Oreochromis niloticus: one gene and its partners. The protein of the gene in region 3 purifies or fractionates together with the protein of the main gene of each other region. This does not show direct contact. Links are inferred from orthologs where the notes say so. Each region holds a gene or a part of one and is shown on either strand. Other genes may lie near its edges.

Region 1 (7,428 bases), on a different chromosome or scaffold from region 3:
TGCTTGGCTGCCAAGAGAGCTCAGTCTAGTTCAATCATTCTTAAACTATTTTAGAGCTGCTCAAAGATGTAAATTTACACAGCTTTCCAACAAACTTAAACATTTAAATTACTGATTTAACAACAGCCTACACATAGACACAATATATGCATTAGATCAAATCCAATGCACTGAGTTATTACCTTTGTTGTGGCAATGCTGTTGACAAAGCTGACTTGCTGGAAACCTTTCTCGCTCATGGTGAGGCAGACCTCCCAGCGCTCGTTGACAGTCTCATGGATGACAGTAAGAGGACCACCCAGTTCATCCACCTTGTCTTTCACATACATGTCCACATAGCTACGGAAACCTGTAACCTTAAGTGTGAAGTTCATACAGTTTATATCAGTTTAAATGCATTTTATCCTGAACAAATTAGGATGGAACATGTAAGATTTGTCTTGCTAACATCAAATATTTCATTAAATGAAGTTACTAGAAATATTTTTAGGTCAGGTAAGTGACTACTTTTGATAAGTACACAAAAAGCTTTGGATTTTAGGTTCAACTTTGTGAATTAAGTCTTCAGTCAACATTTGAAACACGCATAATATATTGAAAAGCTTAATGAAATTAGTTTCCAAAACATTAAGAGTTAACACTTAAAGATCACAGTAACTTACTGGTAGCTTCTTGCTATTAAAGAACACCCGGACACCCTTAGTGGCTCCAGCAATATCATAGGCCCTCCTGGTCATCAGAGCCACTGTGTCTTTGTCCAAGATGCTCATCTTAAACTTGGCCAGATCTGGTCTGAAGGTGATGCAAGTGTATTCCTCTCCATCAAACGGTTTGATGCTAGCCTCCCCTGCTCTGCCCATATTGTCATACCAAGTCTATGGGAAACATGGGCATAACAGAAAATGACATTCTCCCTGATCAAGACATAAAAATTAAAGTGGGAAATGAGATTGACCTTCCTTCATACCTGCTTGAAGCACTTCTTCGACTGTTTACAAGCAGTCTCGACAGTGAACTTTGTACTGAAGATGTTGCAAAGCTTGGCACCGTATCCATTTCGTCCACCTGAAGAACATTTATATAACATTTATAGAGTTAGGAACAGACTGAACATTAAATTTGTTTTTTTTTTTCCTAATAAAACGCTAAAATTTCACCATTAATTGTGTTGGACATAATGATGTAGAAAAGAGTCTTTGTAATTATACAGAATATCTTCTCATTAAGAATGACAGAAAACAATCAGTATTATCTAAAGCACTCAAATTCATCAATCTTACCAGTGACTTTCTTCTCGTCATCATCATAGTTACTTGAAGTGAGAAGCTGTCCAAAGATGAGAGCAGGTACATAAACTTTCTCCACTTTGTGCTCCACCACAGGAATACCCTTCCCATTATTCCATACACTGATGGTGTTGTTTTCACTAAAAGGAACAAAAACATACACAAGCGCTTGATTTGTCAGCTGGTAGCTGTAGTAGAGTTACTTTGTATTTTAATATCTTAAACTTGGTAGTGCACCGTTATACACAACTCACGGATCAATGTTGACCTTGATGCAGGACATGCTCTTATCTCTCTGCTTGTTATCAGCTGCATTTACTACGGAAAGAGAAAGTAAAATCTATTTTTACTACATTTTACTGGAGCAAAAACATTGTTTAATAAAGGTTTGTCATGGACATCTATAATTGCAAGAGCTTTTTACTTACCAAGGATCTCATCAAAAATCTTGTAGAGCCCAGGCACAAATGTCACATCACGGCAGTTCAGTCCAGCATCCTCATCAAACACCCACATTTGCTAATGAAAGAAGTTAAATAATCACAAGGAGCTTGCATGCGTTCATTTAATAAGAACCATAACTGTGCAGTCAAAACTCCCCCCCCAAAAAACCTGCTTTAAATCTACACATGACTGTTAAAGACATTTTAAAACTTCTTACCTGAGTGACAGGCTCTACAGAGCCTATGTAGGAGTCCGGTCTGAGCAAAATGTGCTCCAGCTGCGTCTTCTTCTGATAGATCCTCTCCACTGACAGCCGCTTAGGATCCTTCTTCAGCTTTTCCACCGGCTTGTTCTCAAAAAAGGCCTGATGAAAACGACACAAGGTTATCTTTTAAGATTCATAATTCAACACTCTTTATTGTCATTATGGATAACGAAAGCAATTCTCCCTCACATGGTGCAAAAAAAATAAATAAATGAAAAGCTTTAAATAATATCAATATACTGATATCTTTTATAGGCCTTGCACCGTAACGAAGATGGGACTTATCTTTGTACTGCAGGAAACCTTAATATAATGATCAACATCATCTATAATGCTACTTGCTGACAGTTTTGCATGCCTGCGGTTATATACGTCTTCAGTTTTACTGCACAAAAAACACAATGCAAATGTACGGGGGGGAGAAAACACCCCCCTGGAAGTTGCTTGGCTCTGATTACATTTGACGCTCAAGGACACAGGGTTTAGCTCAGTATTTAAGGACAGTTTTTATTTCAAACACAATAAATAATGCGAGGTGAATGAATGCAGGGGTAACACCATTTCAACTGGCTTAGCAGCATTAGCTATAGTTAATGCTTACAAGCTGCTGTGCCAAGAGTTAGGACTAGTTGTTAAGTTACTAAAAGGAACACTCTGCAAGTAGTGCATTATTACGTCTAAACAGCGGGCACTGTTACATTAAGCAGCTCACGACGTTAGCCAAGTGCCTTTAACTGTTTCTTAGAAGTTTAACTTACAGTTGTAGCAGGTTAGCACGTAAGCCTAATAACACGTTAGCAGCAAATATGAAAGCGACAGTAACGTTACCTTCAACGGTTCAGCCATTCTTCTTGTATTTAATGTTAAAGCCCTTCGTTTGAAATATAGTACACTCTAGGTTTGCAACAAGCTAAATAAATCCCAGCTACCCCCAATAATAACGGCTGCCTGCACTAAAACGTTCCTTCGCTGCCTGAGCTGAGGTCCCAGTTTGAATATTCGAAATTTTGTGGAAACATCTCCCGCCAGCTATATTGACCAATCATACTACTGAGCGCGTGACGAATTCCTCCAATGAGAGAAGCAAATCCGTTCTTTTTCAATTAAATAACCAATCGTAGACGGTAAAAGTGGCATGAGCCCACCCATCTCTTGTATCACAGCCAATCAGCTTTCAAAAAGAAGTAACCTACGTGCTGGGAATTCAAGTACAGACAGGAAAAGAGTTAGGAGGGAAACAAAATAGCCTGTTTCCTTGTTTTGGATAAAAAATATCCTGTCAGCTCTATTTTTATAGTGTCCAATGAAGAAATGTGACCTATATTTTATTATTACTATTTTGTTTTCAATGTTCTTGGATTTTTGTTCTACAAATACAAACGAAGCTTTTTCTCTCTGATGTTTTCACGTTTCTCGGTTTTTAAGGCTGACTGAGCAGTTCCAAACGTGAATCTTTACTTTTTATCAACTGTAATACAATGATAATAATAATAGTAACTATCATAACAATGCGCTTTCCAGAAACACACAATAAAGGAACAAACTAAGACGAAGTTATAAAGAAATTACAAATCAACTAAAATACCTCATCCTTTATGGCAAAACATTATTTAAAAAAATATACTAAAATAAATTTTTCAGTAGAGATGAAGACACTGATGAGGCAAGACAGATTTACTTAGGTAGGTCATTACACAACGAAGGACCCCTAATAGCATCAGTGATTTGAGGCTCCAAGAGAATAATGATGTAAGATGTAATCATATCAGATTGGACATAGAGTAAATACTATCAGTATGTCTCCTTCTGGGTCTGATTATATATTTTTATTCTGTTGCTGCATAATCCAATCCAATCAGAGGTCATATCTGAGGAGGGGAGCTTGAACATCTATGCTTATTTTATCTCATATACAGCATATTTCCCAGAACTCATGTATTCATCTAGATAACAGACAAAGTTTTACAGGTAAGAGATTCCTCTCACATAGGAAAAAAACATTCATACCAATTCAACTAAAAGAAAGATTTTCAAATGCATTACAGATGTGCACTGATTGTGGACTGGCTTGCTCATGCAACAAAAGCTCACTAATACTGAGATCCAGGGTCAGCAGGCTCAGCCCCCCACTGACGCTGGCAAAGGGCCCATAGCCTGATTGATGTCACTTTCCTTCCTCCAACTCCCCAACTGCAGAGAAAAAGAGGACATGATGTGAAGAAAAAGGGAAAAAAGGAAATGGATTTTGTTGTCTGGTGTTATGATTTTTGACACTTTTTGGTCACTTGGGATATAAAGCATGAGTGGCCTTTTAAATGTACAAAACTTGCCTTGCAAGAAAAGTGTTCTGTTTTTCTGGGACCATGGTGCTCACTTCTTTTTTCTTTTTACACTAGAGTGTACTGGATCTTTCACTTGATTTATCACCACCGCTGCCACTTTCTGTCCTTTGTCTCTCTTTTACTTGCATAAAATACAGGAACTGCTTAAAATCTGTCTAGTGCTCAATATCATATTTCTTCTTTTATATTGTTCCTTTCTGTCCTGGACTCTTCCTATGTAGCTGCACGATACCCCAACACTGTGTTTTTTAGTCATTTATCAGATAGACCTTCACTTTTTCCCAATCCTCTATTCTACTGGGATAAAAAGATTCATATGTGATGCTAAGAAAGCATTACTTCAGCAGCACAGTTTTATTCAGCTCTAAGCAACCATCTCTCTTCATATTTCTTGTCTTGTGGCTATCAGTCAATGGAAATGCAGTAACCTGATTTATCCAACCGTTCTACCATTCTTATCTGTCTTCCTCTGCTATGTTGCCCACTCATCTGACCTTAGCATGGTAATAATAGGGCGGAGGAGCTTGAGTAGAGCTGCCTCGGTCCGGTCGATGTAGTGGATTGCAAGTACACTAATACACCCACAGCTGCACACATGAATGAAGGAGCGAGCACACAGAACTGTTTATCTGATATTTTTTTGCTTGGTATTTTCAGCCAAAAAGATTGAGTTATCTCCTTTAAGAAATCTAAAAGAATGTGCCTGCTGCCCTCACACTTTCAATGCACACAGGGTTGGACATGGTAGCTTTAAAAAAGACTGTTTTTAAACAAGAAAACAGACAGTTTATGTGGTACCTTTACAATAAGGGTGCAGAATTTTGATCAGATCAACATATCACATTTGTTAAATGCATACAAAACAACATGCAAAAATAAACATTTGTGGCCTTCTAGGGATTTTTGTGTCTTTTGGACACTCAAACATTATTTATTACATTCCACATTATATATCTGGACTATTTCATCTATCTATCTATCTATCTATCTATCTATCTATCTATCTATCTATCTATCTATCTATCTATCTATCTATCTATCTATCTATCTATCTATCTATCTATCTATCTATCTATCTAATATCAAGAATATTTTCTTTAATGATTAATAGAATACATAAACCTTTGATTTTATATATTTCTGTTGCACTTTTTACTTTTAATGAGGACAAATAATTTTTTAACACTGTGTAAGTCTCACACAGACTTTCTCTTATCTAGCAGAAGTGGGCAGTTTGAAACAGGAATGCTAAGTACTTAGCATCCAAAAATAGTCACCCTGCAAAGTAGATGGACACTCTCAGTAGCTACCACCTGCCTTCCTGTTTATTTATTGATGGCTCTGTGTTTTCTGAAGCTTGACTGCTGGGGACGGTGGGAGAAAACGAAACTTGGAGTGTCACAGACGTGTTGATAGCTGTCTGAAGGAGATGCTTGATGTGGCTTGATGAACAGTGTCTTACAAGGAAAGGGCTCCTTTACGGATATTAGTGTGACAGGTAAAGAGCTGCTCCAACTGAGCACTTGACAAGCTTGTCAGAGCTTGTCCAGGAGAGCGTTTGGGGATTTGTGAAAGATGTGACAGCCAAGAGTGGAAAAAAAAGATAATTTTCTTTATTTTGGCTTTGCATCCATCATAGACCGCAAAAGATAAGCCAAAGATATTGGAGTTAATAATGACCCTGCACTGGAATCATTTTGATTGGTAGTGACTAGAATGGACAGGTTAGAAATGAGTAAATCAGAGGAACAGCTCAGGTCGAACAGACTAGAGAGAAAATAAGAGCGGCAGAGCTGAGATGGTTTGAACGTGTGCAGAGGAGGGATAGTCGATAAACTGGACAAAGGATGCCGAATATGGAGCTGCAAACCAGGAGGAAAAGAGGAAGACCACAGAGAAGATTCATTGCCTCTCTGAGCCTGGTTCTGCCGGAGATTTCTTCCTGTTAAAAGGGATTTTTCCTTCCTACTTTTACCAAGTGCTTGCTCATAGGGAGTCATGATTGTTGGGGTTTTCTCTGTATTATTGAATGAAAGTTGCTTGAGTTGACTTGTTGAGTTGGGTTGTTGTGATTTGGCACTATATAAAGAAAACTGAATCATGATGTGATTTGATACTGTGAACAATTAAAAAGTCTTGTTTATTTTATTAGAAATGGGGTTCATCAAGCATTGGGTATATGTACCAATTTTGTTGTCCACCACTGAACATAAAACTATCTGCTGCACTATAAAACTGTAATAACAAGTGTCTTAAAATTACTTACAGTATAATCATTTCTTATTTTCTGTAAAAACTTGACTTGCTACCCTAAGTATTTGCGGGTGAATATAATTACATCATAATTTCAGATTTTGGAAATTATGCCCTTAGCAGGCCCTTATATAAAGTGCTACCAAATGCTCTTTACGAGGAGTAAGTGTCAGGCAGTGGTTTCTGTTGGATTTTACTTATATTTGATTAAATTCCCCTCACAGTGTGTGTAATTATTTCCTGGCAAAGACTTTTCCCTGCGAGTAGCAGGATAAGAGAGAGCTCATAAAAAAATGATGACAATGAACTAAAATGAAAACAAAATTACAGCTTTAGGTCCACTGTGAATATTTTGGCTCAGTCAATTTCCAGGTGTGTGACAGATAAAACGACCGCCAGTGAATGGCTTAAGGTAGAAAACAAAATCTCAGTAGCTCAGGCCGTGCTGGATGTGAGGAAGAAGGAGCTGTTACTCAATATTTAAACCTTCAACACTTTTTATTAGAGACAACAGTGTTTAGGAAGGAAAATAACATCTTAGAGCAAACGTCTAACATTCACAGCATTAATATACAGATTTTTTTTCTCCTCTGGTTGCTTTCTGGGTCATGTTTTGACCAGCACATTTCCAGCTGTGTCCTTGGAGGTCCACAACATGACCTTTAAGGTGAACACCCCTCCCTGGCTGTCATTGTGAATACAGTGAGGGACTAAGAATTATTATTAGTTTGAAAGGGCAGCTCAGACCACCTCTATCCTGTGTTTGCAGGCAACTGCGGGCAACAATAGTAACTTAACATTTAAAATTGAACAATCAGTGATGCAGTGTTATTTAATC
Region 2 (7,457 bases), on a different chromosome or scaffold from region 3:
CCAACAAAACAGAAAGATGCTTCATCCAGAACCAGGAAACAAAAGGTCAAATATCCAAAAGTAAAACAGTAAAAGACTAAAACAATAAAAGTCTTGGGGAGAGGGAACAGTGAAAACAGACGGGAAAGAAGGGAGGAATACACAAGGAAACGATAAAGAATAAACCGAAACGTAACCCTAAACCTGAAACGCATCTCTGGAAAGATCACACAGTAAAAACAGGAAGCAAAGATGGCGTCACAAGAACTAAGAAACAGGACGATAAAGAAGTAAGAAACAAGAATAAAAACTCGGAACAACAGAATGACTCAAGTCCAAGTTCCCAGACCGCTGACCGAGACACGACCACGGCAACCCCGACAAACAAACAGGAAACAAACTGCCTGTTTCTTCCTGTTGACAGTAAACATGCAGCAACATCACAAGTGTGGTCACCTCAGCACAGTCACCACACAGGACGCTCTCTGATACAGAAAACTGAAGGAGATGTGCTCGATCATTACAGCAGGAATCACACCTGCTCTGTAGTTACTTACCAGTGATGATGAAGCTTGTTTCTGTGGAAACATGTTGCCACGGTGATGAAAACAGACGGGTTTACTTTTACAGTTTCTCTCAGGAAAGTGATCCTCAAGTGCAGGCCTGCCTTTTACTCCTGGACTGTTAGATGGAAACTAAATAAAATATATTTACTGTATTTTCATAATAAAAAATTTCACTGATGAAACTGAATGTAGTTTATTTGCTCTCACAGGTCTGCCACTATCCAAATAAAGGCACTTGGTCCTTTACCCATGCATGTTCAATGCAGTGATGGCCGCTTTTATGGATTCTTCTTTCGCAGTGAGATCTAAAGGACAGAGAAACACCCCAAACAATTCTCAAACTAGGTTTGTCATTACTGTTTTTGCCGTCATCATAAATTCACTGACTTTCCTTCTGAAGAAAATGAAAAAAGTGATTAAAAATTATTTTTATTATTGTTGTTATTAAAATGATACTGTTTTACTACTATTACTATTAACCCTCTACTGCATAGCGTTGCCCTGAGGCAACAAACCACATTTTCATGCCTTACACTGGCCCTTCAAAAAAAACCAACTTTTTTTTTTCAAATAATGCTACCAGGCACATCTCTTTCCAATAAAATGATGAGTTGAAGGTGGTGTGACTTATATTTGGGGGGGGGGGGCAGGACCCCTTTCTGCAAGCTGCAGTACATGAGAGACATCTCCATTCGGAGACAAGATAAAGATCACTATTTTACATGTTTATAGTGAAATAAATGTATATTAAAAAAATACTTGTATGTGCATGAATATGTTAAGAAGCATATTTGATTGTTTTTTCTACTTTTTAAAATTTATTTATATAGTAAAACTGTTAATTTTCATTCGTTGCCTCAAGGCAACACTGCGCAGTTAGCCCAATTTTTTTCAGGCAATATAGTGCATTTGCATATGTGTGTAGAGATGTGTTTGTGTGCATTTATATGATCATAGTCAATGCTTTTTACTTTACAATCTACCCATAATTACAGGACATGGATGTAAATACCTTTTATGCAAGGAAACCAAGGGAATGTGCACTTTCTGTCCTCAGAAAGTGAGGACAGAGAGCTTTCAGGGAGTGACAGTGAAGTAGAGGAGTATGAGGTTTGAGGGACACTTAGGAGCTCAGGGGTCAGGGGTCAGTTGGTAAAGTAACTGTGTCTGTGTGTGTGTTAGTGCCCACATAGCAAGCAGGTCTGGCCAGGATCTGGTATCAAGTTGGCACTTTGAGTAATCTGGGAGAGTAGAAAAGCGCTATATAAAAATCAGTCCATTCACTGTCTGAACAGTTTCGGCATGTTACTTTTGCACTGTTTTGCATGTTCCGGCACATGTTGTTATTGCATGGCTTGATTAATATACTACTATTTTGTGTTATAAGAAATCACATTTCAGAAACACGTTGAGATGATGCATCATTTTTGCTATTACTGTCATAAATTCAAACATTGAAGGATTAGACATAAATAACCACAAATTAATAATAAGTCAGCTTGCCGATGATACAACAATCTTTCTAAAAAATAAAGAACAAATTCCATTGGCCTTAGATACAATAAAGATCTTTTCTGATGCTTCTGGACTACGCCTGAACCTGGACAAATGTGAACTCATGAGTATCCACAATTGTTCTCACTCTTCTTTGTACAATATACGTGTCAAAAATGAAATCAAATATCTTGGAATTTGGCTAACTAAATGCATGGCTGATAGCGAAGAAAAGAATATTCAGAATACAACTGACAAATGCAAAAAAACCCCTAAACCATTGGCTACAGAGAGATTTAACTTTGGTCGGCAGGATAATGTTGACCAAGGTTGAATCTTTGTCCAGATTAATCTATCCAGTTTATTCCCTAGCCATCCCACCAAGGATTATAAAAGACATCAATAAGCTGAATTTTAATTTCATATGGAAAAATAAACATCATTATATCAGTAACAGGGACTTGATAAAAGACTATGAAGAGGGGGGTTTAAAAGCAATCGATTTTGAAATAATGAATGGCATCTTAAAGATTAATTGGCTCCGATCTTTTTTAAAAAATGATAATGAGATCTGGTTTTTGATACCATCTCATATTTTCAACAAAGCTGAGGGGATCCAATTCCTTTTAGTATGTGATTTTGAAATTTCTAAACTGCCCATAAAACTCTCCAAATTTCATCAACAAGTTTTGTTAAATTGGAAATTAATGTTTAAACATAACTTTAGTCCCCACAACGTTCCATTGTGGAATAATAGGGTGATATTGAATCGGGGGAAATCTATGTTTGTGGAAGAATGACAAAACAAATTTGGTCTGTGACATATATAATGGATGAAAATGGAGATACACTTGAATTAAACAGGTTTAATGAGAAATATGACATGAGTTGCTCGTTCGAGCTGTACAAAAAGGTTTCACAGAATATCCCAATAGTCCTAGTCAATACGATAAAGAACAATTTTTCAAATATACCGACTCCAAATTTACATAAAATTAAATTAGATGGTCTTGACTTGGTTAATGAAAAATGCAATAATCAGTTTCTGAGGAGGTATTTGGTTAACATCTTATATCCAGGTAGGACAAAACATACACTCATCTTTAACGTAGCTTGCTATCACCAGTGTGTGAATGTGTGTGTGAATGGGTGAATGACTGGATATGTAAAGCGCTTTGGGGTCCTTAGGGACTAGAAGGCGCTATATAAATACAGGCCATTTACCATTTTAAAGATTATAACAAATCTGAGATCTCGTTGATCAGAACCAAATATTTAAAATTTCCAATTCCCCCCAAATTTAAAGAAGTCCATTTTAGAACTACAAAAAACTATTTACCCCTCCAATGAATTTATGAGAGACAGATTTAAATTTGTGTTAGACAACTGTTATATTTGTAAAACAACTTCGGAAACAACAGAGCACATGTTTTATGGGTGTGTGACAATCCAGAACTTATGGAAATCCCTCCATGTCCTGATATTGTCCCAGTATGGAAATATTGATTTTTGGTCTTTTCAAAATATTCAAATTGGAGTAATCCTTAAGGACAAAAATAGTGAGTTTTTAGTTAACAATCTCATTATTATAACAAAGTATTACATTCATAAATGCTGATATGCTAAATCCCCCCCTTCATGGGCTGCTCTTAAAAACGAACTCTCCCTGTTCCGTAAATCTCTGAAGCTAATAAATAAGCCCCAAGCAATCAAATTGCATAGATTTTTAGAAGAGTTTGATTTTTCTTAGCCCCTTATTTAAGTTATGTGTCTTGTTTATGGAACCTCACTTTTAGAGATTTTATGATCCCCCTTGTCTCCTTTATTTCTGTTCCTTGTTTTTCATTTTTTTTTATTCTTTTTTATTGTTATTTATTTATTTATTTAATTTTTGTATTGGTTATTCATTTTTATTATATTATTATTATTATTATTATTATGTAGACGTGTGTGTATAAATGTGTGTGTTTGCATATGTATGTATGTATGTTTACTTTCAGTCATTGTCGATTTCATTGATTTCATTGTGGTGTACCAACTGCACTGTGGCAATGATGTGTATTCCTCTGATTGGGAGAAAAGAAAACGGAGGTGCGATTCTGTTCTGAATGATTCAATATGTCGCTTGTCTCTTTGAGCTTGTCATTGTTATTGTTCTAAATAAAGTTCATTTAAAAAAAAAAGAAAAAAAAAGCTGATGCACCATTTCCCACCCGATATAAAACTAAACAGCATCGATACTGCTGCGCTCCCCCTGGCGGCCGGCGGAGGAACAGCAGCTGAAGACGGCAGCGCTAGTGGGTCGAGCTTCGTGTCGATTCGTCCTCTTCTTCGGTTTAATCATCCAACGACCCGCTGTTTGACCGAGAGAAAGGCTGAAGCGGCGCTGTCTCCGTGTAAATGGCGTCTAACGGTAAGAGAAACTGGTAAATCTGTCCGGTGTCTGGGCGTCGGAAGCGGTTAGCTAAAGATAGCATCACCTTCACCTGCCGGTGAACAGAGGACAGCTAGCGGCTAGCTGAAGTTTAAATGGCTCTCTGGGGGCGTGGCGTCCATCCTCACATTTAATTCATGCAGGCCTTACGCCACCGTTTGTCCGGCTGCAGGACGCCTCACCGCCTAGCTTAGGTTAACTGAGTAATACCGGTGCCTGCTCCGGTCCGGTCCGGTTAGCTCGCCGTTAGCCCGGTTTTGCTGCTGACCCAGTTTCTGGTGGCTCACTGCGGTCTCGAGCAGGGAAACCGCTCCCCTTTGCCGATCCGCTGCTTTAACCTCTGGCCTCGGTTTATTAAAAGCACATCAGAGCGGAGACCGAGCAAAAACCAGCTCACCTACCTACACCGGACATCCAACTCAACACAAAATAATGAAAGACATTTCCTTATTCATTTTTTGGCATCTGTGGGCTGGATTATTAATACTGTGAGGTAAAGAGCCTGCGACAACACAGAACAGTCACATGGCTCCCTGTGAGGAAAGGTCCTGTTAACAAGAAGAACCCTGCGTTACAACCAGGATCAGGGAGGGGCAGCCATCTGCCTGATGGGGCTGAGGGCAGGGAGCAGCAGGCTGGGTGTTTGAACTGGAGGGTAACCGACTTTAACAGGGAGGACTTTGCTATTCCAGAAAAACACAAAACAGAATAAATAAACAGGTGTACATATTTCCAAACATATAGGCACAGGACACTCAAAGTTTAGAGTTATAAAAGTGCGACTGTATCTGTGTTTGATTGGATCACTGAACTCACAACACACACACTAGGGTACAATATCCTCGTCACTTTTCCATTTGTGTTGCCATTTTCATGCAGGGTCATGTTTTAAAGCTCACTGCACACACAGATGAGACACAGAGATACTTCTGACCTGCACAGGAAGCTCTAAACTGCTGTAAACCGAATCATTAAACTGAGCTGCACTGCAGTAGCTTATCAGTGATAAGGGTGTTTATGTTTTTCACGGGGCGATCGTGGCTCAAAAGTTGGGAGTTCGCCTTGTAATCGGAAGGTTGCTGGTTCGAGCCCCGGTTCTGACAGTCTCGGTTGTTGTGTCCTTGGGCAAGACACTTCACCCGTTGCCGTTACTGGTGGTGGCCAGAGGGCCCGGTGGCGCCAGTGTTCGGCAGCCTCGCCTCTGTCAGTGCGCCCCAGGGTGGCTGTGGCTACAACGTAGCTTGCCATCACCAGTGTGTGATGTGCGTGAATGGGTGGATGACTGGATGTGTAAAGCGCTATACAAATACAGGCCATTTACCATTATCATGTGATTTAGTGTAACTTACGGCTGACGTGTGTCATTAGGATACAGCTGCACAGTGACTTGACTGGGCGGCTCAGGACCCTCAAGGCTCGTCCATAACACCGAGCTGGGGGTAAGAGAGCAGAGATGAATAATAACAAATGATAAAATGCAGAGTGGTGTGAATGAAGAAGAAATGCGTCATGGGAAGCCTGTCGGTTCAGGGTCCCCCGATCCAGTCCTAACTACGTCAAAAAACAAAAGTTTTAAGCATAATCTTAAAAGTAAGATTTCAGACAGATCTGACAAATTTGAATTCAGTGGATTTGGTGTCTGATGTGGTGTTTAATGTATTCATAAATAGTTTCACAGTGTTGGAAATCTGAAACACTTTAAATCCGTCTGTTTTTGTTAATTATGTTCGGTTTGGACAGATCTCCCGGACATGGATTAAATCTACTCCCAGACTGAAAGAGAATAAGTTTTAGTGCATGTCATGAAAACTGAGCCTAAGTATTGCTGTTTTTCATTTCTGGATGATAAAAAGCTGGCCTTCTTAAAAAGGGCTTTTACAGATAGAATATAGTTTATTAATTTAATAATTACCATTAAAATCTGTCTTATATAGTTACTGTTGAGTTTGAGTTTTATAGATTATGTCTGACACTGTTTGGATGTTTGATTGCTATCATTAAAATTATCTTCAATATTAACCCTCTCTGCTTTTTCTCCTCAGATTATTCCCAAACACCTAGCCAGGGGTGAGTTATGTAAATCATGTCTTTATTCATTCATGAAGGTTTCTGTCATTATTAATACTCGTCCAGAAAAATACATTTAGATTCTGAATTTGGGTTAAAACAAGAAAAGTAAGTCCTTGCATTTAACCGTGGAAATAATTTTGTTTTGTAAGTGAATGATAAAAAGTAGATTTGAAATGGTGTATTCTTGGTTGGTGTGTGCAGCTATCCATCCTATGGTGGAGGTGGCGGTGCTAGCCAGGGCTACGGTCAGTCGTCTGGCCCGGGTTACGGCCAGCAGGGCTACGGAGGCTACAACCAGAGCGCGGACAGCAGCTCCAGCTCCTACAATCAGGGAGGCTATAGCGGCTACGGCCATCCTCAGTCAGGTAGAGGAAGCCCCAGCGTCCGCCCAAATCCACAGTCACTGTTTTCCAGTCACCTCTGAATCAGTTTCCTTTTCCCAGGTGGATACGGGTCTCCATCCTCCAACCAGGGCGGTGGCGGTGGTGGGTATGGTCACTCAAGTCAGTCCTACAGCTCCGGAGGCTATAACAGCAGCAACCAGCCGTCCAGCATGAACTACAGCCAGCAGTCGTCATTCTCCGGGTACAGCCAGCAGCAGCAGCCTCCTCCTCCATCCTCTGCAGGGTACGCTCACGTTCACCTCGCCTTTAATTCACTGATTTCAGCCCCGTCTCCACAGGGGTAGTGTTTAGGAGCAACCACAAACCTCACTGACGTTACCTGCGGAAGTTTGGACTGGACTTCATTTTCATTTATATTTTGTTCCATGAGGACATGCAGACAGCATGTGTGAGAGAGGAGGATGCTGGGATAGCAGGAGATGGAGGCAGGTCGACTACTTTAGCGAACCTTCATAGAAGCAGTCAAAAAAAAAATAATTTAAAGGCCGCATTTGTCTTTAGTTTTAAATA
Region 3 (7,029 bases):
GATTTCACATTGGCCCTCTAATTTTGACTGACTTTACTCTTTATTCATGTGGGACAATTTAGCTTAGCATCTCTGTAATTACATGGATCAATTAATATGAGATATCACATATATGCTGAAATCACACATACGGGATTATGTGAGATTGAAAAAGACATATGTGACACATTGCTTTTGAGTGTCTTTATTACCTGCATGATTCTGTCCTGAGCAGCAGGGGTTCGTGGGGTTCGTAGCCCTGTTGCCATGGTATTGGTGACACTGTATTCTGAGAGGAGGGTGGAGGAGGCGGAGTTAGCGCTTTCACTCTCCTCGGCAGCTTGACGGGCGACCTCACTGGCGACACCCAATTTGACAACTTCCTCCAACTCGACGTCACTGATCTGTGAAGAAAGCCAATTAAAGAACTTAATGTACTACCTGTTATCAATATAACAAGTACATTATATTGATATATAAAATCCAGAAGTAATAAAATTTTAAAAAAAAAGTGGTTACCTGTGGTGCGGGTAACACCAGTTTGGAACGTTTTTTGGTAAACTCAGCCACTCCACTGGTCTGCAGGATAGCAGATGGCAAGTCACTCTCCTTCTTCTTCTTTATCTTCTGTTTATCTTTCTTCCTCTCCCTCTCTTCAGTCTCACTATAATAATAATAATTTAAAAAAAAAACACAACAGGGCTTACGAATGGATGAAAACCAAAAAAATGTGGAACACATTTTGATCCTTATTATTTATATTATATACCATCAGCGTGACATTCTCACGCCTTTGCTGGGAGAAGTCAAGACCCAAGGAAAGTATTCAAGTGACATAAACAAGGAGCCATGTTAGCATACAGAAAAGCACCAGTAGTTTAAAGTGATACTAACTTGCGTAATTCTCCATCCAAGTGCTGCTGTCTGAGCCTCTTGAAATTAGGCTCCTGAGCATCATACTGCTCCATGCTGGTGTCATAGAAACCCTTAAAGTAAACAAAAGACAACAATTACTACTGTAAGATTAAGTTAATCTCACTGCTGATGTTGTGGGTTATTTTTAAGGATACAACACATAAAGCTGTGGTTACCAGTGCAGGTTTCTTTTCAAAAGGGATTTCAGCATTATAGTCTACTCCTCTCTTCTTCTTTCTCTTCTTCTGAACATCGATTCCTGCTGCTCTCAGCTCTCTGCGTTTCTGCAGAGCAGCCAGCCGCCTACAGTATGACACCAGGAAAAAAAGAGTCACATATGATCATTTTATTATTACATGTCAACTGCTCTGTAAGAGGTAAAGTTATGATAAATACAGCTTGTCTGAGGGCAATTGTAAAAGCATTAAATTAGCTGAACCTGGCTTCCTCCAGCTGTTTCTCTCTGGCCTTCCTCTTGGCTTTCTTGCCCTGGGTGTTGGCCAAACGAGCCCTGGCCTCTGAAAGCATCTCCAACTCATCTACAGACCGATGAAGACAGACAGACACACAAAACACATTGGTTAGTTACCACATATGACTGTTATGATTAATCTTAAATAATTAAATATAAAAATGTACAAGATAACTAGGAAGCAAATCCATTCTTAACACAAGGACACATTCTCTTGTTGGCTCGATAAATCTGACAGCATCTGACAGTGTGTTTTTGTACCTTCGTCCATATCCACAGGGTCAGGTCTGGCAGGTTTTGTTTCAGGATTGGGATCAATTTCTCCTGGTTTCAACTTTCTGGGGTCATCTCCCACTTCCTCCTCATTGTCTCTTTGAGCTGCTTTGTCCCTGAATAAAACACAAAATGCATCTCAATTACAAATCAGCAATGATTAGCAACAATGAATGCTCCTGGACATACAAGGTGAAAAGCCACAGAATTACAAAACATAGTGAATAAATGTGTCTTTAGAGATAAACATACAGCAGGTATTCGTAGTGTTCCAGACACTGAGCAGCAGTCCTTCCTATGATAGGAGCAATGGTCCTCCACTGGGTGGGCATCAGCTTGGCCAAGTGAAGCAGCTTCTCCTCCTCTTCTCTGGACCATTCTGTTTTCTTGATACTGGGGTCCAACCACTCGTACCTACAGACAGAAACAAAGCCAGAGGAGAAGGTCTTTATTTCGCTCTTCTTAAAGAGAGATTTGAAAGCTAAAAAAAAAATCACAGACAGAAGAAACAAACATCAATGTATGTAGAAGTTTAATTAATCTCATGTTTTTGACACATCACACATCTCTGACTCAAAACTCACCATCGGGCTTTACACTGTTTTGCAGACTTTCGGTGCAGCAGGGAGGCGATACGGGACCACTGGTTTTTCCCATATTTCATTACAGCTGCCTTGAGGATCTCATCCTAAATAAATTTTTAAAGAAGGAACAGACGTCCATAAATTAAATGGATGTACTAAATGACAAATGATTTAATCAGACTAAACATGTCAAAACCCTTTATCCTCAATCCGCAGTGGGCTGATTCATTTTCATCCCAGTGCTGAAAAACAATTATATTATCCCCTATCTTTTGCTCACTTATAAAAATTTATGAAGTCTTGTGGTTTGTTATTTTGGCCATCTAGATTGCCAAATATTCGCTAACTGTAAACATGTATGTTTAAGTGCAAATTAAAAAGCTTCGTGCATACAACTCAACACAAGCACGAAATAAAGTCTTAAAACACAGCTGGCGATAATTTAAATAAACTTTAAATGCCACACGGGATAAATTCGTTAAGTGAGTAGCTAGCTTCATGCTAACTCGAGACCATAGGTTTGCTTTCGGAGTTTAGCATCATGCTAACCAAGCTAGCCATGTAAACACGTACCTCAGTGTTGCGCCAGACGCCTCCTTTAATCATAATTCGCGGCATCTTGGCGGCTTCGTTGTATCTCCTCCTTCAGTGAAATGCTATAAGTGATTCTTATCCAGCTGTGGTGTTTTGTAGCTTTAGATTAAAACAAAACAAAAATCCAACTACAAACCAAGCGCTGCGAGGGAAAAAGCGACATGCACCATACCGGAAACTCACAACGGGTGCACCACATGAATTGTGGGTAATGTGGTCGACGAGTAATGACGAAATTCGATGACAGTTTCCTTTACCACCTCCCCTTTCACAACTTGATAAAACAGACAAAGGCAAATATCTATGAAAAGCACTCACCATAGAATTAATACATGTTAAAAAATAAATAAATACATTTACTAACTTATAAAATTATTAAAAATTGTAATAAAAATGTATATATAAATCTGAACATTTAAACATAAATAACTCGTATAAGAAAATAAAAAATGAATTAATTTTTAAAAACACCTTTGGAAAAAAACGTCTTGATGCATTCTCAATCATCCAGGAAAGTAAATCTCCAAAAGTTGAATCTGTTCATCTGGACGTAGCGTTTTGTGGGAGAAACGTTTCGTCACTCATCCAAGTGACTTCTTCAGTCTCAGCTGACTGCAGGTTTCCCCAAACCTTATAAACAGGACATTTGCATAATGACTGAAACCAGCCCACTGAAGGAACAATGGGCTGTGCGGTCAGTTCCTTAATCATAATTATGCAAATTCCCATGCAAATGTACTGTTTATAAGGTTTGGGGAAACCTGCAGTCAGCTGAGACTGAAGAAGTCACTTGGATGAGTGACGAAACGTTTCTCCCACAAAACGCTACGTCCAGATGAACAGATTCAACTTTTGGAGATTTACTTTCCTGGATGATTGAGAATGCATCAAGACGTTTTAACCCACTTTGGCAAGGACTGCCTAAAGCTTGTACTTCAGTATGAGCAAACAGCACGTAAGATGGCGGACTACAGGAACCACCTGAGATTCAGCCTCAGATGCCGACAAAACAGGATTACTCCTAAAAGTCTGCAAATGAGCTCTTCAGTTAAAGGCTTCCGGGCAACAAAAATCCTCCAGAAGGCACAGCATCAGTTGCTTAATGAACGGGTGAGGCAGACAAATTTTACCATCGACATGCTAAAATCTCAAGAGGAGCGGATCCGACGGAGACTGACTATGCTTTTAGATGAGAATACTCTTCAAAAGGTCTTTGACTTCACTGAGAAGGCTCGTCTAGCACAGCACAAGAAGTCTAAGACCAGGCAACAAAGGAAGTTCGACTTACTTGTTGTACGTCGGAAACCACCGCAAAATACGGAGAGTGTCCTCAGTGGCCAGAAGAGACAAGGATGCAACATGGAGGATGTGGACAAGTGGGTGAAGAATTTGTCTGACAGACAGCTCACCCAAACAGAGAAAAACATCCTTGCTAAAGGGTTGAATTTTGCTGTCACACCGAGAAAAATCCCGCTAGTGGAGCTGATCACAGCCACAGAATCAGCAATTCGTAACAACAATATTTCAGAAGTGGAAGCAGAGCAACTACGGACGAAAGTTTCGGCCTATCTCAGCAATGCAAAGCCCCCAGCATCCAACATCTCCATGGAGGAGAGGAAGGCACTCACATCACTTAGTGATGACAGCAACATTATCATCCTTCCGGCAGACAAGGGTAGGTGCACAGTATTGCTTAACCAGAAAGACTATCATGAGAAGATTTTGTCACTACTCAGTGATGAAAATACTTATGAGCCCCTGAAACGAGACCCAGGAAGTGGTTACAGGAAGAGGGTGATAGACTGTCTGAAGCAGTTAGAACAAGACAAGGCTATTGACTGGACCTCATACCACAGGCTGTACCCAGGGGAGTCTACACCAAGTCTGTATGGTTTACCGAAAATACATAAGCAGGGTGCACCTTTAAGACCAATTGTCTGCATGATCAACTCGGTCACCTATAACATCTCCAAGTTTCTGGCTTCAATCCTCAACCCGCTGGTGGGCAGCTCTGAACACCACATCCAGAACACCCTGGATTTTGTTGAGAAGGTGAGAGATGTCATTATGGAGGCAGATGAAACCATGGTCTCGTACGACGTTACATCTCTCTTCACTTGCATCTCAGTCACGGAAGCGTTGGAGGTAGTCCGTAAGAGATTACAGGATGACACCAACCTCAGCAACAGGACCACTCTCAGCATCGACCAAGTGTGTTTGCTTTTGGAACTGTGTCTTCATTCCACCTACTTCACATACAAGGGTCAGTTCTACAGGCAGAATCATGGGTGTGCCATGGGCTCCCCAGTTTCACCCATCGTGGCCAATTTGTACATGGAAGAAGTGGAAAAGAGGGCTTTGCTATCCTACCCTGGAACACCACCAAGCCATTGGTTCAGATATGTGGATGACACCTGGGTGAAAATCAAATCTCAGGACGTACTACACTTCATGGATCACATTAACTCGGTGGACCGACACATCAAATTCACCAGGGAGGATATGAAAAGTGGCAGGTTAGCCTTCTTAGACTGTGAGATTTCCATCAGTAATGGGGGACATCTAAAAGCTGACGTGTACCGTAAACCTACACATACGGATCAGTATCTAAGGTTTGACTCTCATCATCCACTGGAGCACAAACTGGGTGTCATCAGGACACTACAACACAGAGCGAACACCATCCCCACAGACACAGCGGCCAGGGAGGCAGAAGAACAGCACATCAAGAAGGCCCTGAGTAAATGTGGCTATCCCAGCTGGACTTTTGTCAAAGCTGGAAAGACACCCAAAGAAAGCTCCAGCCGATCCAGGAGAGAAGGACAACCGCTGCCCAGGCGAAAACCTGTGGTGATCCCATATGTGTCAGGAGTATCGGAGCAGTTGAGACGCATTTTTTCGAAACACCGGGTCTCTGTGGCTTTTAAACCCCAAAATACGCTGCGCCAAAAACTGGTCCACCCCAAGGATCGGGTCCCCCGACACAAACAGAGTAACATAGTGTACGCTGTTAAGTGCCAGGAGGATTGCCAGGATTTATACATCGGGGAAACCAAACAACCTCTGGCGAAGCGGATGGCACAACACAGAAGGGCTACCTCGTCAGGCCAGGACTCTGCAGTCTATTTACACCTACAGGCCAGAGGACACTCTTTCAAGGATGAGGATGTACACATCCTGGACAGGGAAGAACGCTGGTTTGAGTGCGGAGTCAAGGAGGCCCTTTACGTGAAAAGGGAAAGACCATCTCTGAATCGAGGAGGGGGCCTAAGGGTACATCTTTCGCCATCTTACACTGCTGTGATTGCAGCCATTCCCCAACTCTCTGTGAATGGGACTCATGGCCATTGATCAGTGTTCTTTGATCAGTGGGTTTTGGTCAGTGATTGTTGATCAATGGTCATGGGAATTTGCATAATTATGATTAAGGAACTGACCTCACAGCCCATTGTTCCTTCAGTGGGGTGGTTTCAGTCATTATGCAAATGTCCTGTTTATAAGGTTTGGGGAAACCTGCAGTCAGCTGAGACTGAAGAAGTCACTTGGATGAGTGACGAAACATTTCTCCCACAAAACGCTACGTCCAGATGAACAGATTCAACTTTTGGAGACCTTTGGAAAACATATTCTCTGTGTATACACATTTTCATTTAATGAGAGCATATCTATTATTCCATATTGGTGTTACATGTAGCATGAAAATATGTTTCTCAACCAGTTTCGAATAGATAGGAACCGTTGATATGTAAGTTCCTGGATTCAAAGCATAATAAAAAGTCTATCCCTCCTAAATTTTGAAATGAAAAAGCAAATAAGGTATGTTAAACCAAAAATAACGGTCTACTATTAAGAAAAGGTTTTAACCATTTTAACTTTAAAACAACCAACACCAGGTGGCATCTGTCATTCTGACAAGACTTGCATATGTCGAGACATTATGTCATTAAAGGTTATCAGGCAATCAAAAGAAATGTGCAGGATGGTCAGCAGAGTACAGCTGAGACACAAGGTCTGATGCAGTGTCCTGCTGACCATTTGAGTGGATGAGGAAATACACAGCTGCTTGCTGTCTGGAACTCAAAGTCCCACAGGACCTTACCTCTGTTGTTGTCAGTCACCTTTGTGGTGTCTCCCATAGGGACTTGGGGACTTTTAGTCCGTATGTGGCACAGATGTTCCTCACCACTTGGTTGTGCCTCTCAGTGTATGCGG
Region 4 (6,977 bases), on a different chromosome or scaffold from region 3:
AAGAAAATGCAGTTTTAAATCTTTCAGCTATTCCCAGCTCCTTTAATATTTTACATAGCAACCTAAAATGTCAGCACTGAATGCAAACATATTTGCCAACAGTCCAGTAACTGTAAGGCATCAATCTGTTAGTGTTTTACTGCGGACGACTTGAATCACAATGGAAGAAGGGTGACCAGATGCCCACTTTCTGTGGGTCTGCACTGCATTTTGTGTCAGTCGTTCTCACGTCCCTCATCACTGTACATCATACAAGCACTTGTCTAAAGTCTGTCTTTTATCCAATGGCTGTGAAGGAAGAAGGGAAGACTGTCATCACTGACACGGTTTAGACAAATGCTGAAATTAAGGTTTATAGGTGGTGTGTTGTTATTACGTGGATAGCTCATCTACCTACAAGCAAGCGTCTCTTGTCAGATGGCGCACGTGTCAAAGGAGGTTGTCTGTGGGCCACATGTGCTGTTGATCAACCAGCCAACCGTGGAGAAGGGCGAAGTTATGACATAAACAGCTGAAGTGTTTAAAAACTAGGGAAAGTATAATCTGCGGCCACAGTCTGTACTTTGTGCTTTTTTCTGTATTGTAGTGGATGACTGTATGACACTAATGCTCCAATACAAGCCGCTTTAAAGCTCGCATCGGTGCGAGGAAAAACAACAACACCAAACACTTGATCAGTGACATCTGCTTCGGTGTGGACCTGACTGAAATCACATGACTGGTCCAAACAAGTTTATACTGCTATGCAACGAGAGATGCTTCGTAACCCCTCATCAGAACCATGTGAATGTGTTTTCGAAAGCTGTAAAGTTGTCAATAGCAAAAGAAGCCAGGTCAGTCTAACAATGGTGGAAAAAAATATCGTTTCTCAATAAAAATCTTCAAATCCCCTGTACATAAGCACACCTTACCATCCCAGCACATCCTGGGCTTCCCAAAGCACGCCTCCTTCCAACTATTACATAAGTTTACAGAATCAACTGACCGCCTTTGCAAAATTGTATTTATATCATTCAAACAAACCCTTGTTACAATCAGCACATGATTATCGACACATTGTTTTGCTGACTCCTACTCCACCACTAGATGTCACTGAAACAAAGCTGTGAATGAATGAACCCATTTTCAATGCAACTGATGAATTGGCTCAGTACTGGTTCTATGCTTCATTTGCACATCATTTCTTTGTTGTGTTTCTAACATTCCTGGTGAACACCGCTGTTACTTCCTTCCCACAAACACAGCATCATCTATGTTGACTACTGTGCAGTTTGGATTATGGAGGGCTGCACTGGAGCACATTTAACAGTGGAGAGTAATGACATGAAGTCACGCAGTACACAGAATTAGCAAAGCTAACAGTTTTATCTGATTTAGAGTTCTGTGGGAAATCTTTCTAGGTCCTATAACATTTATGCTGTGTGTGGTGCAGTATGTGCTAATTACAGTGCGGTCATATCCCAGCATTTCATAAGCAGTGCCAGCTGATAGAAACAAATAAAATATCTTAGGTTACAACTCTTTGTTGAGGTTAGATCTGTTTTCCCCCCCCACTTCCTCCTTTGTATATCCCCCGTCTTCCATTTCGATAATTTCTGCAAACTCCTTCCAGGAATTCAGTGACATCTATAAATCCTTATACTGATGCTATGATTGCTATTCTTTTATTAAGAAATTGAAAACAGCAGCGAAGAAGTACAATGCACAGGAGGACTTAATAGTGCTTTCCCACTGAAGTATTATTGGGACATGTAAGGGAATACACAAGCATAAGAAGACTATGGAACAAACCTCACTTTTTGTGATGCTCACTGTATTTACCAAAAGAGGGAGCTGGGAAAGTTACATTCAGCTAAAACCAGTTTATTGATCTTTAAAATGATTAATCGCAAACCTGGGACCTGCATACTTTGCTTATATTTAAGTGAGACACATGTATGTATGTATATATATATATATATATATATATATATATATATATATATATATATATATATATAAAAACATTTCCCAGTATTTCCACAGGACTCTAGCTTTAGGTAGAATTGGGTGTTGGCTTGAAAATGAGCCCTACAGGCCACCGTTACATTAAAATTACTTTGAAACAACTGAACTACAGCAGTGTTAGTGGACTGAATTAGCTTAGTGTAGCTAATAAACTGCAGCACAACTAATAAAAGCGTTAAGGCACCTCCAGCTGAGTCCTACCTGTGATGGTGCCGTGGACCTGGGTGCCGTTCTTCAGCTCGATGGTAACCGTCTCATGGCTGAGCTTCATCAAAAACCTGTGGGCATCGTGGAAGAAGACGAACATCTATGTTTGAGTTCAGCCTGGAAATGAACCACAAACTAGCCTCAAGCTAGCTACTAGCTGCATAGCTTTCAGCTGCAAAACAAAACCACCCCAGGAGTGAGATGACCTTATGAAAACCCGCTGAAACCCTCCAGATTTAACCGCCATAACTAAAACAAATACTGAACTAGCTTTGTGCTCCTGCTACTAAACATTTAGGTTACGTTCATTTCGTTCGCTGAGTAGCAGGTTAACCAAGGCCGGGCCTGCGAGTCTGCTAACGTCCACGAACCAAAGTATGTTTAAAAATCGTCGATGCATAGAGCTAATTTCAACTACCGAGCGTCAGGGTTAATACTGCAGGTGTATTTTAACTACGAGTGTGAGCATTGTAACTCCGGACAGCCTCCATTCATTCGGCCCGATGCTTCCCGCTCATATCTTATCCTCCTCTTCTCCGCTTTCCATCTAAACCCATCCAGCCGCAGCACCCTCACTCCATCATCCCACGTTCACCTGTTCGTTAAATGGCGCATTCCAGACTCTGCTTACCTGACTAGTTTCATGATGGTGATGGACTGTAGAGACAAATCCTCCACCAAAGAGAAAAATTACAGCGAGCGGGTGAAAACACACACAGGCCGCTGTGGTAACAATTACGTTTGACTCGCGCACTTACGACGTCATTAAAGGAGCGACGGCGACGAAGAAGAAGACACGCTGCACGACAACACTGCCGCCTACCGATGGAAGAATAAACAGCGTTTTGAACATATGCCCCGAATCTAACAAATCTTTGGATTTATTGAACTTTACAGAAGCAAATATTTAATAGAAGAAATGCGTATATATATATTTTTTATTATAATATATGTTGTCAAAGTGTCAACATAAATGTAGTAAACTGTAACAACAGTAAAAACTTACTGTGTGTAAACTAAATAACAAATAATCCAAAAACGCTACAATACAGTGCAAACGTCTTGAGATACCCTTATTTCTTTCTACTTTGCTAGGAAAATAGATCTTCTTCACAGACATCCTTCCAGTGAAAAAGATTTCTGATGAGACTGACAAGTAGGTGTATGAACTGAAGAGCCAGATGCATCCCTGAGGTGTAAATAAAAACTGAAAGACCTTCAGAAAGCCTCAAGAACAGAGATCGAGAAGTTTGGCTGCTTAAAAGCAAAATATAAAGAAAGCAAAGGGCGACTCAAGTCTTTTGCACAGTGCTGTGTCTTGTTTAAGTCTTTGGCAGTTTGGTCGTACTTAGTGAGGCTGAGATGCCGCATTGGATTTGTGCTGTAATAGCTGAATATCTAAAAATTTTCCTCCTGACAGATTACAGAAATAAATCGTGAAACTAATCAAACTAAGCATTTTACACAATGAAAACAAATTAAAATAAGGAAAGCCTTCCCGAACCCAAAATCAATTAAAAAAAAGTAATAAAAACAAATGAAAAATCTAACACTTCTGCTCTCCTGAGGTGCAGCTGTGTTAGTTTTTCAAATAAATGCAGTCTAAACCTAAAGATAATGGGTTTACTTATCATTTCCATGTACATGCTAAGAGCTGTTGCGGATTTGACAGCAACATGAAGTGAAATAATGTCAGTCTACCTTGTACATTATGATAAATAGGAGACTAATCAGGGAACATGTTCCCTTTTCTTGCTGATGGAAGTTCAGAAATCAAAGCACTAAAACAAAAAAATAAAAATGTCACTGCAGTGCACTTTCAGTTCTTTTTATTGAGAGTAAACTTTGCACTGACACTTTCATTTTTAGTTTTGGCCACACATCAAACCCTTTCTTTTGACCAGCTGGGAATGTATCAAGTATAATCTGTGAGAGTGCAATTTCAATCTCTTAAACTCTGAAGATGTCAGATGAGGGAGCACTAAATCATAAACACTAATGCAACTGCTTGTGTGACGCCATCGACGGCACACATACAAAAAAGGGAATATTTAACCGCTGTCCCTCTGCAGCCCGACCACACATCCGACACTCGCCAGCATGTTTCTGCGAAACAAAGACGCAGTGCGTGCCCAAACACTGACGTGAATCCCTCTTTCCTCAGGGAGTGGAGCCTGAAATGTCACAGCTGCCCTCACATCTCAGCGGGCTTCGTGCAATGCTATGAGCCAGCCACCTTCACAGTTCTCACTTTATCACTTCAGGTTTCAGAAAATGCTTAAAAATCAGTTTTAAGTGAGTCAGTTTGAGTTTTACAAAGGGTGTCTTTGTATTTGTCTGGCATACCATCAAAGGACATTTAAAATCCTCACATTTATTCTCATTTCACTCCCCAGAGCACCAAATCAGTCCTCATCACAGCAGGCAGTGTTTAGTTCCCTTGTAAACATTGTATTTGGGCAATAAAGTTTAAAGATTTGAGGCTTGATGACATCCCGGCAGTTACATCTCAGAGGCGGTGTCAAATCAAAGGTCAACATTCACATAAAGTGTTTTTTAATCATCGTGGAAAAGCAGCGGATTCCTTCAGAGAGGCTCAAAGAGGTTTTTCATTCAGGGCTGAAAATGTGGGCGCTGCGACTCACCCGGGGGGGGGGGATAAAACAAAATCAGTGTATTAAAGTGTTTTCATCATCATCTTTCATTATGAAGCATGTTTAAAAAGCAATGACACTAATAAATAGCAACAGATAAATACAATCAGAACAAAACAAAACAAAGAAAAAGGCACACAGATCCAACAACTCTGGTCTCAACAGGAAGAAACATCTTGTCTATAATTAAAGGAATAAAAAGAATCAAATACAGTAGAAACCCAAACCCACGTCCCGTCAATTAGAGCACACTGCAGGGCGCTATAGGTAGTGGAAAAGATATGATAAAAAGTTACATAAAACCATAAAATGTGCTCACATTTACAGTATTTGTTATGCCTGCTTTGGCTCAGAAACCGCACGACTCAAAGAACCGACTCACACGAGCACCAAACAATAAACAGATTCATGAATCAGTGCAGCAGCGTTTTAACAATATATTCTCATTTATTTATTTTACAGTCGTATAAAAACTGTTTACAGCAGCTTCTGTGAAGACAAAACTTGTGAAAGTGGCTGAAATCTCACTTTTTATGAAAAATCAGCTTTTTTAAATGTGCTGCAGTGTAAAGTCAAACTTTAAAACACATTGTGCATAATCCAAAGTGATAAAGCATATTTTAGTTTACCGTCTGCTAACTGTTTACTCTTTTAATTGGTTAAACATTTAATAATTTTAATTGGACGACTTGTGTGAAGCACTTTAAACCTGTTGACTGTATTTTATTTATCAGGTTTAATAAAGTAAAGGATCATTCTGAAGTCAGTCTTCAGCTTAAAATGCCAAATTATTTCCTCCGTGATATTTGTAGTTTTTTAAAATCAAAGCAACTATGAATGATCTGAGGAGGTTAAATACTGGATATCATTATTCTCAGATTAATTTGATTGGTTGATGCATTACCTCATTTAATACCCACTGTATTTTGTCTGCTACGTGAGATCTGGTGCACAAGTACTGAGCCAAAGTGGCAGAAAAACACTGTAAATCTCTGCAGATTAAACATGAAGATGCATCTTTGATACAAAACATTTGAAATGTGCAGCGAGTGGCAAAAAAACAAAACAAGACAACCCCCCCCCCCCCCAAAAAAAGCCCAAACAGAACAAAAAACAGAGAACTCAATCCACTCTGCAAACAAGCACCCACTGAACTTCCAGCTTTATGGGCGCTGCTCTGCAGCTGGGACTGACCTCTGACCTTCACGTGCAGAGAGGTGCTGTAATAGTGTGACGTTTACGCAGCAGACTGTGCCAGCCTGCTGAAAAGTAAGATCAGGACTGTATTGGCACTAACACAAACAGGCACAGTGTGCATGAAGGTCCAGAAATCAGAATTAGGCCCTCTGATTGTACAGCACGCTATAAACAGGCTCCAAAGTTACAGTTATCTTCATATATTTGGCTCTTGGAGCTCTGAACTGGCTTGTGGTTGGGTTAGTGTGAGAATCAAGTGTAGTTAAATGAGGCAAGTTTGGATTTCAGCATGAACAGCACCAAAACTTCACCCTGAACAAACTTAGGAGACAAACAGAAGAGGTGGGGAATTAAATTAAAATAAGAAAAAAACTAAACTAAACTAAAACATGGAGCATTTTGTTGTGTTATGATATCAGTAGCTCTCCGTTCATGGTTTAAACACTTCAAAGAATAATTTGTCTGTTTTTAGAGCAGACAAAAAGCACTTAAAAATAATCAAAACGTGTATGACATCATCTTTACTGGACAGAGTCCACAGGTCTTTAAGTCCTCTCTAAATACAGTATAATACATACAGTAAACACTCCACCCCCCAAACACAGGCACCACCATCACACATCTTCCATCATCCATCAGTGCTTCTCTCTGATTGGTTTTCTTTCTCTTTATCTCGGCTCTACCTTCTCTTTCTCTCTATATCTGTCACTTTCACACTAGGTGTTCCTGCTCCGTCCACTCTTCAGGTGACCGGTCCTCCTCTAACTGAAGGACGAGGTCTGAGTCTCTCTCCATTGCCGGGGCAGTGTGTGCGGGACTGTTTCCATGTTGGGAGTGTGAGTGCGGGTGTGTGTGCGCTTCGTCCAGCGACAGGTCAGCCACACACCCTGCGTCCACACCCTCTTCTCCAGC

Evidence for each region.
Region 1: the proteins of cdc5l (region 3) and top2a purify together in Homo sapiens (affinity purification with mass spectrometry; 3 studies listed by BioGRID, with this or other methods). This does not show direct contact. The link is inferred for Oreochromis niloticus from reciprocal best matches to the Homo sapiens genes CDC5L and TOP2A.
Region 2: the proteins of cdc5l (region 3) and fus purify together in Homo sapiens (affinity purification with mass spectrometry; 4 studies listed by BioGRID and IntAct, with this or other methods). This does not show direct contact. The link is inferred for Oreochromis niloticus from reciprocal best matches to the Homo sapiens genes CDC5L and FUS.
Region 4: the proteins of cdc5l (region 3) and snrpd1 purify together in Homo sapiens (affinity purification with mass spectrometry; 4 studies listed by BioGRID and IntAct, with this or other methods). This does not show direct contact. The link is inferred for Oreochromis niloticus from reciprocal best matches to the Homo sapiens genes CDC5L and SNRPD1.

Annotation. Positions count from the first base shown.
Region 1 is NC_031973.2:19,732,787-19,740,214, reverse strand, and holds the start of top2a (DNA topoisomerase 2-alpha), read right to left. Parts: upstream 3,013-7,428; 5' UTR 2,842-3,012; coding exon 2,824-2,841; intron 2,095-2,823; coding exon 1,948-2,094; intron 1,806-1,947; coding exon 1,715-1,805; intron 1,605-1,714; coding exon 1,541-1,604; intron 1,427-1,540; coding exon 1,281-1,426; intron 1,066-1,280; coding exon 968-1,065; intron 876-967; coding exon 663-875; intron 357-662; coding exon 183-356; intron 1-182. UniProt on the Homo sapiens protein: Key decatenating enzyme that alters DNA topology by binding to two double-stranded DNA molecules, generating a double-stranded break in one of the strands, passing the intact strand through the broken strand, and religating the broken strand.
Region 2 is NC_031969.2:32,751,494-32,758,950, forward strand, and holds the start of fus (RNA-binding protein FUS), read left to right. Parts: upstream 1-4,439; coding exon 4,440-4,452; intron 4,453-6,515; coding exon 6,516-6,540; intron 6,541-6,744; coding exon 6,745-6,908; intron 6,909-6,986; coding exon 6,987-7,170; intron 7,171-7,457. Other genes in the region: uncharacterized protein LOC100698127, read right to left, coding at 436-500. UniProt on the Homo sapiens protein: DNA/RNA-binding protein that plays a role in various cellular processes such as transcription regulation, RNA splicing, RNA transport, DNA repair and damage response. Binds to ssRNA containing the consensus sequence 5'-AGGUAA-3'.
Region 3 is NC_031978.2:5,910,855-5,917,883, forward strand, and holds the start of cdc5l (cell division cycle 5-like protein), read right to left. Parts: upstream 3,024-7,029; 5' UTR 2,842-3,023; coding exon 2,797-2,841; intron 2,328-2,796; coding exon 2,224-2,327; intron 2,054-2,223; coding exon 1,892-2,053; intron 1,756-1,891; coding exon 1,628-1,755; intron 1,434-1,627; coding exon 1,334-1,433; intron 1,198-1,333; coding exon 1,071-1,197; intron 966-1,070; coding exon 874-965; intron 644-873; coding exon 499-643; intron 384-498; coding exon 192-383; intron 1-191.
Region 4 is NC_031985.2:21,348,535-21,355,511, reverse strand, and holds the start of snrpd1 (small nuclear ribonucleoprotein Sm D1), read right to left. Parts: upstream 3,001-6,977; 5' UTR 2,860-3,000; coding exon 2,846-2,859; intron 2,286-2,845; coding exon 2,209-2,285; intron 1-2,208. UniProt on the Homo sapiens protein: Plays a role in pre-mRNA splicing as a core component of the spliceosomal U1, U2, U4 and U5 small nuclear ribonucleoproteins (snRNPs), the building blocks of the spliceosome.